Caenorhabditis elegans: one gene and its partners. The protein of the gene in region 3 interacts with the protein of the main gene of each other region in a pairwise test. Each region holds a gene or a part of one and is shown on either strand. Other genes may lie near its edges.

Region 1 (8,141 bases), on a different chromosome or scaffold from region 3:
TTTTAGGCATTAGGACCTTATAAGGTGGTACCAAAATTTTCAGCCACCTGGCTAATTCTAGCAAGTTCCGTATAAGTAAAAGGTATAAATCAGAAAACTTAAGAATTTGAAAATATCCACAACTGCTTAAAAATTCAATTAAAGTTGTAAAATTAATCCTAACTCCTTGTGCTGTACAAAACCCATTTTATGGAAACATTCAGAATCCCCAATACTTTTTCTCTTTTCTCACATGACCTTATAGTTTATCTTCCGAATGCTGAATGTTTTTTCTTCAGTACAAATGTTTTGAATACCTAGGTAACCTCGAGTATGAGAAACAACATTAACAATGTTTTGGGAGAAACATGTAGTTTTGTACGTCCGGTCCAGTGAGAGTTTTCAACTTATTTTGGAAGAAATTTTTTTTTGACAAAATTTTGCAATTTCCCACGCAGAAATACGGTATGCCCCGTATCTCGCCACGAACATAATATTTTAAATTGACGGAAAGGTGTGCGCCTTTAAGAAGCACAGTAACCATTTTCCGGTTTTTTTTTTGAAATTGCCTTTGATTTTTACTTTTTTCTCCCAAAAACGAGAAATTTAATATAATCCATCAAAATCTTTGTGAACGAGAGAAATATAGTGAAAAACTCAAAGAAAATTGCGAAATGGATTACTGTACTCCATAAAGGCGCACATCTTTTCGAAAAATCGTGAAAAATTGCATCTGACCAACAGTTTTGCGTGGAATCTTCCTAGATTCAAATTTCCTATGAGTCATAAAACTATCATTTTATCGGACAATAACTACACGTGTACCTTGTTTCCATATGTTCTACCAATATAATTTGTGTTCATATGTGGCCAGGTACGGGAAATTAGAACACGGACTGATTTAGGAAGGTTCAAATTCGAGAACAATGGACGACTTGCTGCACGAAAACGTGGATTATTCTGAAACCGCCTATGTGATCACTATCGATTTAGCACTTCGGTTTTCTTTTTCCGTTTTCCTTTATATTCCGTATTGTATGCCGACAATAACGCTTTTTCTTTGTATAAACATTTCCAGAAGCAGAGCAAATTTGTTTATTCCAGAATTGACTGAATATTGAAATAATGTTTACAGACATACTGTAGATTTTTTTCTATTCAAACATGAATACAGTTTTTCGTATTTTTAATCTTCAGATAAGTTTTGTGTGTGTTTTTGAGAATAATATTTAAAAAAGATAAGCAAATATCAGAACTACGGTAAGCGAAGGGGTACGGTCGTCAATTGCGGACTTCCGAGCTGTGCACGGCGCCAAAATTTATTTTGAGTTTTAAAATGATTTTCTTTGTTTTTTTTTCTTTTTTTGACACGATAAGAACATTTTTCTGTATTTCTAATATTTTAAATGAGATCGTAATAAGTTTATTTAGCTCCATCACATTATTTTCGGAATATTCATCGCTTGAAAACGGCGTAAAATAGGTTCCAAGTAAATCATTGCAAACAAATCTCCGTTTATCGTTCTAACAAAGTTTTTCGTTCACTTTCTTATGTAAATCGTTTTCCCCACTTCTTCTTCACGGGAATGATCAATTGAAAGGCCATAAATTGGTTGTTTTCTCCACATTTCGCAACCAACATGCAGCTGTCGGATAGGCAATAAAATAATGTAATCAATGAGTTTTCCGATTTATCCTAACAGTTCTTTTTCTAGTGTTCCTATTCGAAAAAAGTACTGTTATCCTTCTTTTTGGACCGCCCATCTCAGGTGTCAAGACAATCGCAACACACTCAGAAAATGGGCGGAGTATGCCACCCGGCCTTCATTCGTCGCTCCTTGTCTTCTCCATTTTCGTTTTTTTCCTGTTCTCCGTTCTTTTTTTGTACTTTTGTGATAATGCTGAAGTGTTCTTTTTTTTCGCTTAACCGCATCTCTTGATTTAATTCATATTTTCTTTCAGATTCATGTACAATAACACCAAGAGCTGCTCTAACAACTAATAATAACAGAATCTCGAACAGCGAACACAACAATGCGAGTTCTTCTAATTTTACTCGCGTTTTTTGCGCCAATCGCCAGTCAACTTATGGGTGGAGAATGCGGAAGGGAAGGTGCTTGCTCCGTCAATGGAAAATGCTATAATGGAAAACTGATTGAGACATACTGGTGCCGGTAAGCATATATTTCATTCTCCCATGTCAATGTTATTCATCCGCTTTCTCATGAACCGTGACGAAAAGAACAAAAAAAAGAAAGTTTGGGCAGGTGGTGGTGGTGGGAAACAGGCGATAGATAAACAAAAGCTTGGTGTAGAGAACATTTTGAATAATATCCGAAAGTTGAATTATCACTGTCCATATTTCCCTCTAAGACATCATTAAACGCCACCCGGCTTGCAGAATGGGAACACAATGAACAGCAGGAGGCTGTCACAATGTAAAATCTCGTAAATCGTTCGGGAAATCTAAAAAATTGTTATTTAGTTTTCCCTTTTCTCTACAAACAATTCATTTTTCTTATCAATAACTTTGAGTTCCAAAGGCAAAATTTACAGCCGTTTACAGCCATCTTCCCAGGGTTGTCGGCGAATTTATATGGACGTTCATAAAACAATTGGATTAGCGTGTCGGTTCTTTAATCTTGTCTTTTCTTATTACTATCTAGCTCGTTTGATTAGTTATACAGAGAGTATCAACGTATTTATCGATAGGAAAATTGCGCCATGATGCTCTAAAATACATAAAATCGCTCGATTTATCTGAAAATAACACTTATTTCAGCTTAAAAATGTGAGAAAATGGTCCAAAATTGTCTGAAAGTTGTTGAGTGAATTATCGAGATTTGTTTTCTGATCACTTTCACGAATATATCAGCTGAAAAATTGTTATTTTCAAGTAAATCGATATATTTTGCCACGATTTTTGATTAAAAATACTGTAATTTATTGATTGTCACCCACCACTGGCCCACAGTCATAAATTGTCTCAATTGAATTACTTTTCAGTTTAAAAATAATTTAATCAAATTTACAGTTGCAAAAAAGGATTCGGAGGTGCTTTCTGTGAACGTGAATGCGATTTGGATTGTAAACGAGGCGAGAAGTGCATCTACGATGTTTATGGTGAAAATCCGACGTGTATCTGTCAAGGTAATTTTGTGAATCCTAAAATCTGTTAAATATCATAATATTTTGCCCGAAACGACCTATTTTCATAATGGGACTTCTCAAATCTTTAAATCAAATTATCGCCTTTTTGCATAGTTTGATAAATACTTTATCTCGATTCAAGTGTATTCTAATCAATCATTTTAAGATTTTAAACGTTTCAAATTCAAAATTTTGTTCCATGTTTTACTTCCACCTTTTTCTTCATCTGCCCTTTTTCATAGCGGCAATCTTTTTCACCACATCATCCATCATCACACTGCGAGTGTATTTTTCTTTGATTGTGCCCGACTTGTACGCAATTTTTTGTTTCAGGATATATCAAAATTTCGAAAACTTATTAGGGAAAACACGCGACCATACGTATAATAATTCTCCCGGGAGATCCCAACATTGACAAATTGTACCGCATTCGTGGTATCCTATTTTTCATTTCTACGCTCTCAAAATGACCGCTAGTGATAGATAGCTTCTACTAGGTCATATTCGCACATCTTCATCGCCTTTGTCATGCGATTTATTGCAAATGTTCGGTTTCATTGCGCGGGGGCAGTAGTATAAATCAAGCAGATGTTGTTACACAGACAGCCATGAGAAAATATTTATAAGTTTTATTATTCAGATTGCGAAGACGAGACTCCTCCAACAGAACGTACTCAAAAAGGCTGTGAAGAAGGCTATGGAGGTGAGTAAAGTTTGGATAATGTATGATTACTAATAGTCAATGACTTTGTATCACAATTATTGTTGTTTTGAGCAACAATTGACAGCTATTTTAATTTTTAAAAAGTTGCAAAATTGTTTTTTTTTCAATTTTATATTTTTCGAAAACACAAAGGACCAATGAAATTATCAGATTTTAAAAAATATAGTAAAAAATAAATTAAATATATTTAATTTAATTTAACATATTCTAATAAGAAATGCGCGAGATCCAAGTCTCCCACTGTGATAACTTTTTCCATCTGTTGTCGGAACCGATTTGATCTCAAATAAATCAAAATATTGCGTGTTCTTTTTCTCTATTTTACCGTAATGAGATTGACACCTTTCTCATCTCAAAGGAAATAATCGGCGGTTGGGGGTAATGAGGTGTGAATGGCTATTAGGAAAAACAAACTTCCGCCGGAATTTGAATTTAAATTCCACTTTTTTTAAAAAGAAGACAAAGGCCTATCCGTGATTAATACATTAATATTTTCAGGTCCTGACTGCAAAACTCCTCTATTTTCGGGAGTAAATCCATGCGATTCGGATCCTTGCAACAACGGACTCTGCTATCCATTCTATGGTGGATTTCAGTGCATATGCAACAATGGATATGGAGGATCGTATTGTGAAGAAGGAATCGATCATTGTGCTCAAAATGAATGCGCAGAAGGTTCAACGTGTGTCAATAGTGTATACAACTATTACTGTGATTGCCCAATTGGAAAATCCGGTCGATATTGTGAACGAACTGAATGTGCTTTGATGGGAAACATTTGCAATCATGGAAGATGTATTCCGAACAGAGATGAAGACAAGAACTTCAGATGTGTATGCGACTCGGGATACGAGGGAGAATTTTGCAATAAGGATAAAAACGAATGCCTCATCGAAGAAACGTGTGTTAACAACTCTACATGTTTCAATTTGCACGGTGATTTTACTTGTACCTGTAAACCTGGATACGCTGGAAAGTATTGCGAGGAGGCTATCGACATGTGCAAGGATTACGTTTGCCAAAATGATGGATACTGTGCCCATGACTCGAATCAGATGCCAATTTGTTATTGCGAACAAGGATTCACTGGACAACGATGTGAGATTGAGTGTCCTTCAGGATTCGGGGGAATTCATTGTGATCTTCCACTACAGAGACCACACTGCTCTCGGAGCAATGGAACGTGTTACAACGATGGAAGATGTATAAATGGTTTCTGTGTCTGTGAACCTGATTATATTGGAGATCGATGTGAGATTAATAGGAAAGATTTCAAGTTCCCAGATATTCAGTCATGCAAATACAATCCGTGTGTGAATAATGCGACTTGTATCGATCTCAAAAACAGTGGATATTCATGTCATTGTCCGCTTGGATTCTATGGATTGAACTGCGAGCAACATTTGTGTAAGTTCGAAAATTTTATTTTTATATACGACAAACGCGCCTTTAAAGAGTACTGTAGTTTCAAACGGTGAAATTTTCATCAATTTTTCAGCTTTTTAACATCAAATCTACATAGACTACACAGACTTAAATTTTGAAAAATCAATGGCAATCCCGGAGCAAGGAGAGTTTTTAAACTACAGTACTCTTTAGGAGCGCACATTTTTTCGCATTTAACAAAATTTTTGTCGTGGCGAGACCTGATACCGTATTTTTAGCTCAAGATTACTAGGCAGCATTCTTAATATCAACAAACTTCAGTGTGCACTCCAACTACATGTGCTAACGGAGGTACTTGTGAAGGTGTGAATGGCGTTATCAGATGTAACTGCCCCAACGGATTCTCTGGAGATTACTGCGAAATAAAGGATAGACAGTTATGCTCCAGACATCCATGCAAGAACGGAGGAGTTTGTAAGAATACTGGATATTGCGAATGCCAATATGGATACACTGGACCCACTTGTGAAGAAGTTCTAGTTATCGAGAAATCAAAAGAGACGTTAGTTTTCTTGGATACTATAAAGAATGCAGCCCAGAAAAATAATTTATTGAAGTAAAAAGCGGTTTCAATGAAATAAATACCTAATTTTAGCTCAAATCTCTAATTTTGCCAGCTTCGGTTTGTGTGACACGGGGAAGGTGTTAAATAAAATTTCTTTAGCTAAAATAAGGCTGTCTTTTTCCAAGATTTGAACTGCCATGATTTATTTGGAATTATTTTTTTGAGCCACTTGGAGTATAATGACGATGAAGATAAAATTCCTTCAAAATTTGTATTCAAGGTATTAAATGTGAACATTTCAGTGTCATTCGTGATCTATGCGAGCAACGAAAGTGTATGGATCTTGCTTCCAATGGTATTTGCAACCCGGAATGCAATTTGGAAGAATGTAATTTTGATGGAGGTGATTGCTCAGGAGGGCAAAGACCATTCTCCAAATGTCAATACCCTGCAAGATGTGCTGATCAATTCGCAAATGGAGTCTGTAATCAGGAATGCAATAATGAAGAATGTCTTTACGATGGATTGGACTGTCAATCAGAGTTATTTCGATGCCCAGCTCATATTCGGAAACATTGTATTGAAAGACGAGGCGATGGAGTTTGTAATTTAGAATGCAGTTTCATTGGATGTGGTTTTGACGGTGGAGATTGCAATAACGGAACAGAAGCAATAATCCTCAGTGATATTCGTATAAAAGTTCAAATTGATCCTATTGAATTCCAAGCTACCGGAGGAGAAACACTAATGCAAATCAGTGCAAATCTTCGAGCAACCGTACGTATTCAACGGGATGAACTTGGACCTCTTGTATTCAGATGGGATGGTGAACATGAAATGGAAAGAGTTGAGATGAATAGTAGCAAGCTCGAAGATCAATTTGTACTTTCGCATCACGTTCGCAGGTATCGGCAAGCTGTTGTCACTGGAATTGTCTTGTATTTGGAAGTCGAAGAAATATGTAAACCCGAGTTTTGCCGATTTTCAACAGCGCAAAGTGTCGTTGATTTGATTGCTGCTGGACTTGTGAAGTCTGATGTAAGTTATTTTTATGTGGAGTACGGCACCGGGCTGGAAACAAAATAATTTGGACCGAAATAACAAAAAAAATTAAATTTGTGAAAAATCCAAAAAGGTAGATTTCCGGTTCACTTTTCACTTTTTAGAAGAAAATCATCCGCGTTTTGCTAAAAATATTTGTAAAACATAAAAAAATGTTTGAAGTACAGAAAATTAGTTTTTGAATCCAAAACCAAAAAAACAATTTTTCGTCAAAATATCAAAAAGTCCCAGCACTGGTGGGGCTTAAAATCTATTTTTATGGTGATAAAATGACCAAATATAATTTTTAAAAATTAGAAAAATTTTATAGTATATTTCGAGCCAAAAAGCGGTGAACCTTTAATTGTTTGAGTTATGGAAAATAATAATTAAAACATTTTCAGGGTCGTATGTCTCTGGGTCTCCCAATTACGGAAGCAATGGTAGCTGTTCCAAAGAGAAACGAAATCGATGAAGGATGGTCTCGCAGTCAAGTTATTCTGTTTGCATGTATTGCATTTTTGGCTTTTGGAACTGTTGTCGCTGGTGTTATCGCAAAGAATGGTCCAGAAAGAAGTAGAAAAAGAAAAATGGTGAACGCAACAGTCTGGATGCCTCCGATGGAATCAACGAACGAGAAAGGTCGTCGGAATCAGTCAAATCATTCGAGTCAGTGCTCTCTTCTTGACAATTCTGCCTACTATCACCCCAATACCAAGAGACACTGTAGCGATTATAGTACCGGCTACAATGGAGAACAATATTCACAGATTTATCCACAAACTCTCGCAAATGGATATCCCGGTGATTACAACGAATTGAACTTTGACTTTCAATCTGAGACGTTCGCACCAGCTGATCTACCAGCCGACGAAATGTGAGTGAATCTTTATAGTTTTATTATAATTATTGTTATGTTTCTTTCAGCCCTCTCCATGTTCAAGCTGCAGGACCAGATGCGATTACAGCTCCAATCACAAATGAGTCAGTCAATCAAGTGGATTCAAAGTATAGACGACGAGTTCTGCACTGGCTTGCTGCCAATGTCAGAGGAAAACCGGAAGATGTCATTACAACAGAGGCAATTCGATGCTTGAAGGCTGGAGCCGATGTGAATGCAAGAGATTGTGATGAGAATACTGCTCTGATGCTAGCTGTTCGTGCACACCGTGTCAGACTTTCCGTAGTGCTTCTTCGTGAAGGAGCTAATCCAACAATATTCAATAATTCGGAGCGAAGTGCCCTTCATGAGGCTGTTGTCAACAAGGATCTGCGTATTCTGCGGCATCTTCTCAC
Region 2 (4,457 bases), 450 kb from region 3:
GTCCCATTACATCTGAGAAGCCCTCTTTTATCACATAAAATCTCGGTCGAAACCTTATTAAAGCCACATAATTAAAGATAATTAATTCCGCCACAATAATCGTTTTTTTCTTCTTTGCCGTGTCTCATTTCATTTTGATCTACTCTTTCCTCCCTTCGGATTCTTTGATTTCCCAGTGAAATACCTCACCCACTTCAATCCCCACAAAGTGAGCAACCCCTATCTTGCAACAGTTTTATCATCTCTTCATCATACCCAGTTTGATAATTTATTATCTGATCCCCATCCCCTTGTCGCCTCTCATTAGTATCCTAGTTTTTCATTTGAGCCCGGAGCTCAGACTACATCTCCGAATCATCATACAAATAGATAGAAACGGGTCTCGTGACGAAAGAATACGTGCACCACACGACCCCCCCATCCTGTTCACCCCCATACACCTGAAAAATATGATCTTTACAGTTATTTCTATTATATCCTCAAATCTCTCGTAATATCGTATCAATTTCCTCTTCTTTTTTGTCATTTTCAATTTTTCTCAAATTTCTCAGATCTATTCTTTTTCTTGTATTTTTGGAACTTGTATCCCTCCTCCATCCCCAGACTTCCCCTTCCCAGTTACTCTTGTACATTTTCATATATGTCCATATATCGTTTGAATCTCTCATTTATGGAAATAAATTTGAAAAAATCAATCATTGAAAAGCAAAAATTTCATTCAAATAAAATGATGTTGGTGAATTTAACACAGAAAACAGGGGGACTTGATTTATAAATATAGACAAAACGAGAATTAAGCATCGGCCATCTCAACAGCGGGCTCCGGAGCAGATGGAGAAGGACCAGCCTTCTCGGGTTCAGTTGCCACGGCGATATCCATTGGAGATCCTGCAGAAGCATGGGAACATCCACAGCCACCACCAGCTTGGCGAGCAAACAATAGTTGTTTCACGAGATGAGAGATTCTTCCAGTTTCAAGTTCATCTCCGACTGCCTTTGCATCGGTCACGACTTTCATCAAAGCTTCATGTCCATCGACACTTCTGTCATTCAATTGGAGCTTCTTATCGACGGCCGACAGCTTCTGATTGATGTCTTGAATTTGATTGTTGAGGAATTCGACGTTTGAGAAGAGTGGAGAACTGCTGAGAGTGGAAATCCAATAGCTGTTCCACAGAGAAGTCAAGATGTGAGCGTCTGGAATTTTAATTATTAAAACGGGAAAGAATCGGAGATGTTTCTTTTTCAATTGAGACCAATTTCCCGTTGAGATGTTTAATATTATTATTCTTATTTTAAAAGTTTAAAATTTCAAGCTATTCGATTCCAATAAGTTTAAACAATCCAAAAAACAAAGCTTTGAATATTGGATTTTACAGTTGATTGTCCTTTATCGTATTTTTATTATGTAATTCATTCCCGATAAATATAAATTTCACCTACCAAGTTGTGATTTGAAGAAGCTGACGTCAAGCGAGTAGTATCGTTTGCAATGTACACCGAAATCCTCAATCTTTGCGAGAGGAATCGACTGATACTCTGATGGAACATCATCTGGTGGACGGTATCCTTCTGGATATGTACGGAATGCGCCAATGTCAACCTTTCCGGCAGACATAGTTCTCAATGGATCAATAACAATAGCAACCCATGGCTCTTGGAACTTTTGATTGAGTGTCTGCGTTGAGACGTCGATTCCGGATAGCCAGCATCCATATCCAGGATGAGAATGATACCATCCGACGACTTTCTCCTTTCGACCTTCCGTATCGCACATTTCAGAATAAACTGTCATGTACTCGTAGGCTTGAGCTTGGGCATTGACTCTGGAAATTTAAAATGTTCGAAATTACTCCCAGCGTAAATCATTTCACCTGGTCTCAGTACCCTCAACTGGAAGAGCGAATACATCAAGAATAATGAAAGAATTAGCATCGATTCGACCTTGCAAAAGTCCCATAATTTCCAGATTTCCACCTCTTTTCGCGTGCATTGTCATTTTCAGAAGAGCAATTGCAGATATTTTGATTTGTTTGAAATAATGTGGATCTTTATCCCATGGTTTTGCATTTCTGATTTCTACTTGCTGCTTGTTGTTGTACTCGAAAATCGAATCGACATTTTGGACCTGAAACACAAATAATATTAAAAATCTAAAAATATTTAAGAAAAACTGACGTTATTTTCTTTTTCCCAGTTTCTCTGCGGAACTGAGCTGGATGGCTTGACGTTATCAACTTCCATCGTCTGAAAAAAGCATTACCTTGCTAATATTATTAAGAAATACAATCAATAAGACGATAAGGGCATGAAAAATGATAATGAGATGATTTTACATGAAGAATTGAAACAAATTAAGTAATTCTCAGATTATAATTTTTTTAAATCGATTGAAACCAACAAAAACTAAAAAAAATCTGAAATTTGAAATGAGAAAATATCTGTTGTTATTCTAACAACGACACTCCAACTTTCCGTTGGTGCGCGTTGTTTACCGTAAACCGACACCAAGCGGATGTACTACAATTGGAAGACTTGATTTCATAGAAGAACAAATAAATAGGAGAAATGTATTAAAAATGATTATGGCGGAATAAGATATTTAAGTTTTAAATGTCCTAAAGACTGGTTATCCAGCTTGTTGCATTGTGGATCCCTTTTAGAGAAGTTGGCATTCCAGTTCAAAGGTTTTTGCTCAATTCCAGAAACATATCATCAATCTGGTGTAGTCTAGAATGTATACTACAAAATACTGAACCTCATCAATGACCCTTAAATCTTCCAGAAGAATATTCATGAATACTTGCTACTGCAAGCAAAAAGTTTTATAAAAGCCACAAGCTGAGCAAGAAAACATTTCGCAGAAAAAATGTTATCCGCAATTTTCCTGATTATCAACTCGTTGGTGACTGTTTCAGGATATTGTGTTAATTTATTCCTCCTCCACGTGGCAATATTTCATAGTCCGTCTATTATAAGAACATTCTCAATTGTCATTATTAACATGGCATTCACTAATTTTGGAGCATGTCTTAGTGGATTTCTGATTGGACAACGAGTTATTCCAGCTGGGAAACAATTATTTTATATTTCCTATGGAATTTGCTCAAATTTAGGAGAACAGTTTTGTTTTGATATGTGAGTTTGACGTGGAAAAAAAAATGAATGTCAATGGAAAAATGTTCCCGTTTCAAGAAGTTTTTGAAACAGAAGAAATTTGAAAAACAATTATATGTAGGTAGATCAAATTGTTACTGCCCTATTTTTATATTTATCTTAACATTATTTAAACGAGGTTTGGACGGGTTTAGTAAGATGAAAAATTTTTTAAATGGGAGAGGGCTAAATTTAAAAAAAATTAAGTCTTGAACTATAGAAAAACAATAAAAATGGATCATTGTCAAAAGGAATTTTTAAAAATCCTTTAAATCGATGAAAAAAATTAAAATCTAAACATACACTTAAGAAATGTATAGAGTGTTTAAAAATTTCAGTCAGAGTTTCGGCAAATTGCCAAATTTTTTTTGCGAAACTTTTCCCTTTTTGAGAAATTTCATGGATCTCTGCAGGTTTGAAATTTTAGAATTTATAAAATTAATTAATAATTTCGAAAACTCAAAGAAAAATTTATTTTTGGTAAACATCCAAAATTACGATTGCTGAAGCCTAGGACATCAATTAAAAATTAGTTCCAAAAAGTTTTTGAAAAATTTAACTAAAAGCAGTTTGAAATATTTTTCCATTATAGTATATATTTTTCCACATATTTTAGCAAATTAAATCCATCGAAATTAATAAAAAAAAGGTTTCCCCAACAAAGATAGTTTAAAAAAACAGTCTCCACCCACTTATAGGCTCTCTTATGCGCCTGAATCAAACTTTTTTCTTGCATAGGTTTCAATGACAGAATACTCCAATTTTTTAAATCTCCAAAAAAACTTTTTCCAGATTCGGAGCCCTTCTACATTTCCACACTCATGCTCTTTGTCTCATTTTTCTATCTTTTGCATACCGTTTTTATGTGATGAAACATCAAGAGATCTCCCGATGTATTCTTCAAGTTCTCATATTTCTCATCTACATTCCATCATTTATACAATTAATTGCAATGCTCTTTTTTCAAGATACCAATTTTGCAGAAATTCGAATTTTATTCATAGAATCTCTTCCACAACACAACATAACAGATCTTACTGTAACTGGAGCTGTGGATATATTTCAATTCAGTACACCTATTACAATTGGAATTCGTGTTTTAGAAAGGAAAATATTGAAATTATTGATGTTAAGAAGAGTGGATTTGTCACAGAAAACGAGAAACTTTGCACGCTCAATTACTCCGGGTTAGTGTTTCGGAAAACTACATAGAATTCTAAAACTTAGTTTTGAAAAATATCAAAGAAAACTAATTTATTTCTAAAAAACAATTAGAATGCTCAATATTCTTATTATTTCGA
Region 3 (5,177 bases):
TCTCGTCGTGGGATATCCGATGCGAAGATTCCCACCGAGAATAGTAGAAGCTGAATATTGTGGGGGAAAAACCGACGGTGGGGCTGGCTGTGGGTTTGTGAAGAACGAAGCCGTCTGTCAGCAAGAAGAGCACACAATGAAAAGGAGAGCGGGTGGGAAAACGAATAGTCTCCTCTCCTTTCCTTTCCTCACTTCGGTTTTCTTCCTTCTGCGACTCACAATCGCCACGCCTCCACGAAAACATTCTTTCTCTTCTTCATATAGTCTATAGCTTTTTCTGATGGAAAAGCACACAGAAAGACAAACTGGTAGATGGGCGGAGTCAGAGTATCCAATCAGAGAGAGAGAGCGTTGAGCTCTTCGGATATTTCATGACTGAATAGGTGAACGCTAATTGAGTGGCATCTGGAAACAAAGACGTTCAAAATTGAACCATCCTAATATAGTAACGGTCGCTTTCATTCACTTTCACTCATTTACATTAAATCTTAATCCTCACTTGTTGCCTTCCCGATGTACCATGTGTATACACAGGTGATCTCTTTGTTGCGTTCCGTCGTGGTGGTGGTGCCTCTCATCACACGAGAAGAGTCAAGAAAGTTATGGGATAACGATAAGACAAGAGGATCTCAAGTGATTCATGAGTGTGAATCTTCGTGTGAAAATCGATGGGTTGGTTGGTTGGGGAAAATTCTCGGGGGATGACTGATAGGGAAGAGTGCACATTCAGATATATGGAAAATCGGAATTTCTGGATTCTTGGAGACATCCGAATTAAATCATATCTGTCGAGTCAACCTACAAAGGGAACTTCTTACTATCTTCTCTATTGACTAATACACCTCATTTAAATTGCACTACGGCCATTGTCCACTGTGTGCTCAATTCAAAGAGCATGATGGTACCTCCAGGCACCTGTCGACCAGGTACAGTACTTTTCCTTGATAGCTCTCTGTCTTTGATCTATTTCATTCTATCATTATTCGTGTGAAGTGAACCATCTGCGTAACTCGATTCCTTGTGGTCTCTTGTCAAATAGAGATGAGCACCAAAAGTTCCCACATGAATATGGACAACTATGCATATTTTTATTCACTTCTATATTTATTTCACAGAACTGTGTCGGTCTCTTCCTTTTTGTTTTCCGTTGATTTCCAAATCATAATGAAAACAAGTTCCCCATCAAGCGATTCTCGAATTTTTCGTGCTTCGAGAGAGAAATCATTAGAAAATCAAGAAATCGTAGAGCTCCACACAAGAAGTCTAGGGAGAGCTGAGCTGAGCCGTCGGCACTGCTCAAATTATCGATCGACGTGGGAAAATTCGACGGGAAAAGAGAGTGGGCTTATGAATTAGCCACCAGTCGATGCAGCTAACAGAAGCACACGCGCGCTCACACTCTCACCATTCGGCGGTTTTCAGTTTCCCAAATAACAAGGGAAAGGGAAAAATTTTGAGGGAAATTTCAGTTGGAAGAACACATTTGCAAGGGAAAATCAGAAAAATGTATCTGATACGACTTTTTTTTGGGGGGAAAAAATGGTCTAGAACATGAATTTTGAAAGTTTACATATTTTTTAATTTTGAAAATTTCCAAAACTCACAATTTGTCGGCGAATTTTTCGACTGATCTTGCCCATTTGTTCCTTTCGAAGTTGATGCGACATCACTGTGGCTACTCGTACTGGGAGAAAGTCTCATTCGTTTTGCCGATGGAGATGCGAGTTCTGGAGTTGGCGATTTCTGAAATTGATATTATAACATTTTAAAATATAAGAATTTATTAGTGAAAACTAACCGATATAGTGTCAATTTTGGGAAATAAATTATTCTGCTGCATTTGAAATGTCATCAACGCTTGTATCTGAAATAAAATAAATCAAAAGTTGATAAAAATATCGAATTTTTGAACTCGAACACAATGGGGTGACAATCAATAAATGCAGACGTTGGGAAATTACAGGTCATCTCCGTACGCCTTTTTTGTCTATTTTAAATTATTTTAGATTCTAATATAGTTCAAATAACTAATAATTATAGTTTATAAAATTTAAAATTGCCCAAAATATTGAAATTTGAAAAATTCTTAGAAAAATTTCCAGTTTGTAACTTTTTAATGAATAAAAAACTAGGAATTCAAAAATAGGAACTATTTGGGAAATACAAATTTAGAAAATGTTCTCTTGAAATATTGATGCAAGTTTATTTTCAACATTATATATCTGAAAAGTGAGTCCCAGCGACAATACGAGAAATGTTATGGGAGAAAACTAAAGGCTTTTGTGAATATTTTTCGTGCTTCGGGGGACTGGGAAAATTGATTGATTCGATTAGAAATGATTTTGAGAAATTTTGTGAGAAACGGTTTTTTCTGAGAATATTTAAGCAAAAAACTCAAAATACATATCTAAAAATGAATATTCTTATAATATGAAAGGAAGGAAAAAAGGGCCTAATGATAAAAAAAAATTCGACTTTTTGGAAGTGACCAAAATAGAGCCCATTGTTGAATTTTTCCGTAGGGATTTGGGATTTTTAATATTTTGCCGCTGGTTTCAGCGACTTTTTAGCGAATAGTTCAGTTCTCATTTTTAGGTGTTTTAATTTTAAAAATACTACTCCATGCGCCGTTTTTTTCTTGAAAATCGGAAACTTATTGTCAAGTTTTTTCGAAGGGGGAGTAGATTTTTTGAGTTTTTGCCGAACTATACAAAAGCTGGCCTGAAACGAACCAATTTCATAACGAAAATTCTCAAAAAAAAAACCGGCAATTTTTTGAAAAGTCTCGTTATGAAATTGAAAAAATTGAAAAAATTCAGTTGTTTCGGGCGAGTTTTAGTTAATTTGACCAAAACTGTAAACTTTAATACCCCTTTAACTGGGCAACATGACATTTTTACTTTCAATTTTTTATTTATTGCTGTAATTTTGATATTTTCCGAATTTTTAGAATTTTCTGATGATTTCTACTACCAAAATAAATCAAATCTCACCTGTTGAAGTGCGGCAATTTGGCTCGGCGCTGCAGCGACACCGGCCAGCGGCGATACCGACTGGAACATTGCTTCTGGAACTCAATGATACGTTGTTTGAAATTTCGATGGATTGATTACGAACTTACCTATAAACTTATCCAGATTTCGTGCGGGTTCACCCAGTCTGAAAATTAAAACTTTAATAAAACTTCATGGAAATTATCCAAAGAGGTTTTTAAACAATTAGAGGGACGTGTCAAAAAGGGAGCACCTCCGAATATAATGCTCTCGGAAGAAGAATGAAACTGCCGGGGAGACACATACACGAAGAATCGACAAAATCGGGAGGTGTGCGTATGTTTTATCACTTCTATTCCCACCACTTCGACCTCCGCCTCCGAATCGATCATTAAATTTTGTCGTCGATTCGGAGAAAAGAATATCGGTAAGGAAGCAGAGGTACGGTACTTGTGCGACAAAACGGAGCACCCACACATATTATATTCGTATACGAGAAGAAGAAGTTTGATGGGTTTCGGCGGGATTTTTATGTCGGAATATGGTAAGAAACAAGAGATCGGACAACTAAAAAAGCAGGAGTGTGAAGCTTTGAAACGAGAATAGAAGATCCACGGAATCACTTAAATCTAGTATTTTCAGATTGAAGATGAAATTCTGAGAGAATCCGATCATGAAAACGATTATATTTGAAGCGAATACTGTATTTTTTTCAAATGTTCTTCGAGTTTTAAGTTTGAAAATGACAAAATTTTGAGATTTTCAAACAGTTTTTTTCAATAATTTTTAAATGCATATATGTTTCTTTGATACTGTAAAAGGTCATAGATGAGTACGAATTTTTGGGAAAGAAGAAATTAGCCTTCGAAATCAAAAATAAAATTTTGAGACGAACAATGCTAATATGGAAAAGAAGAGCAAAAAAGATTTGAAAAATTGCGGTAAAATCTGATTACAGAAAGAAGCTCGAATTGAATAAATTTCTCAGAATCGAAAAAGTGCGTTAATTCTAAAGTAGAACAAATTGCTTTGAGTCGGATAACTGATATAACGAATTGAATGCTCAAAATACTTTCCTTTCGACCTATCGAATGCTCCAATTCCATGAATTCTAAAATTTATCCTCAAATCTGAAAAAAATGCACTCGCAATTATTTTATTTTTTTACAAACAAAATACACACAGATTTTTTAATTTTTTTTGTATCGTATATGTCTGATATCTAATTTCGCCGCCCTCGTTTAAATGTGTTTACAGTTATAAGTTCCACATTTATCACCACTTTTTTCTCTGCAAAAACACTTTTTTGGTGATGAAAATGTGAAGAGACCGACCTATTTTTCGTATTGTACATTTTTGTGTGATATGTGGATTGGATGCGCAAGAGGAGGAAGAAGACGGTTACAAAATGATGATGAAAATTGCCATAAAACAAATGATCTACGACAACGGGCGGGATGAACACTTTCTTTTTTCTGACTTTTCAACACATCTTATTGCAGAAAATATTTCCACGCCCAAAGCCGAGAAAATGATCAATTTATCGAGGGAAAAAAAAGAGTATTGACTGCGTGAAAAACAGGTTTCTAATGATATCAACTTGAACCTGCAGGGGGATTCCCCCGTTTTTATTGGTGAGACAGAAGAAACGTGAGAGATTGTGATGATAAGAGAAGAGTAATTAGAGAAACAAGACAAATTATTTTTGGGAAAAGAAATATGACATCGATCAGATGATTGTAATCAGCTGGAGAGTAGGGTCTTTTTGATTTCGAAATTGTTCAGCACATTAAAAAAAATTGAAATTCCTATACAGTTGGCTGGCCGCTTCTGGATTAAAAAAAAATTTCCTTATTCTGTACTACCGTTATTTTAGAGAAAGGAGGAAAATTTCCAAAAAGTACTAAAAAGCCGATTGGAACACGGAAAATCACACCCCAGATTGAAATGGGGTCTATTATCGAATTTTTCTGATCGGATACTTCCTTTACCTTTATATGTATAATTTTTAAAGATCTAAAAAGGGAATTTATGAAAGAAGACAAGAAAATTGAAATACGATAAAGGGGGAACGAACTTTCTTACTTTGAGTGAAGTCTCGTGTTTTTTAACTTTAATTGTTCATTAAAAAAGAGAGTTTTGGATTTCTGCGCAACTTTTAACAATTTTGTGTCTTTCCAATAA

Evidence for each region. The genes of interacting proteins can lie anywhere in the genome.
Region 1: the proteins of lag-1 (region 3) and glp-1 interact in a two-hybrid assay, tested with the Caenorhabditis elegans proteins (4 studies listed by BioGRID).
Region 2: the proteins of lag-1 (region 3) and csn-5 interact in a two-hybrid assay, tested with the Caenorhabditis elegans proteins (3 studies listed by BioGRID).

What each region holds. Positions count from the first base shown.
Region 1 is NC_003281.10:9,090,300-9,098,440, forward strand, and holds the start of glp-1 (glp-1/Notch intracellular domain), read left to right. Parts: upstream 1-1,941; 5' UTR 1,942-2,013; coding exon 2,014-2,153; intron 2,154-3,013; coding exon 3,014-3,129; intron 3,130-3,769; coding exon 3,770-3,832; intron 3,833-4,351; coding exon 4,352-5,260; intron 5,261-5,560; coding exon 5,561-5,801; intron 5,802-6,106; coding exon 6,107-6,842; intron 6,843-7,249; coding exon 7,250-7,722; intron 7,723-7,772; coding exon 7,773-8,141. UniProt on the Caenorhabditis elegans protein: Essential signaling protein which has a major role in germline and embryonic development; involved in cell fate decisions that require cell-cell interactions. Probable membrane-bound receptor for putative ligands lag-2 and apx-1.
Region 2 is NC_003282.8:5,647,323-5,651,779, reverse strand, and holds csn-5 (COP9 signalosome complex subunit 5), read right to left. Parts: upstream 2,248-4,457; 5' UTR 2,245-2,247; coding exon 2,179-2,244; intron 2,129-2,178; coding exon 1,875-2,128; intron 1,827-1,874; coding exon 1,444-1,826; intron 1,198-1,443; coding exon 794-1,197; 3' UTR 701-793; downstream 1-700. Other genes in the region: skn-1 (Protein skinhead-1), read left to right, coding at 1-16. UniProt on the Caenorhabditis elegans protein: Probable protease subunit of the COP9 signalosome complex (CSN), a complex involved in various cellular and developmental processes.
Region 3 is NC_003282.8:6,099,404-6,104,580, reverse strand, and holds the start of lag-1 (Suppressor of hairless protein homolog), read right to left. Parts: upstream 2,994-5,177; intron 1,865-2,993; coding exon of another isoform or gene 1,799-1,864; intron 1,744-1,798; coding exon of another isoform or gene 1,605-1,743; 5' UTR 245-1,604; coding exon 1-244. UniProt on the Caenorhabditis elegans protein: Transcriptional regulator that plays a central role in lin-12/Notch and glp-1/Notch signaling pathways, involved in cell-cell communication that regulate a broad spectrum of cell-fate determinations.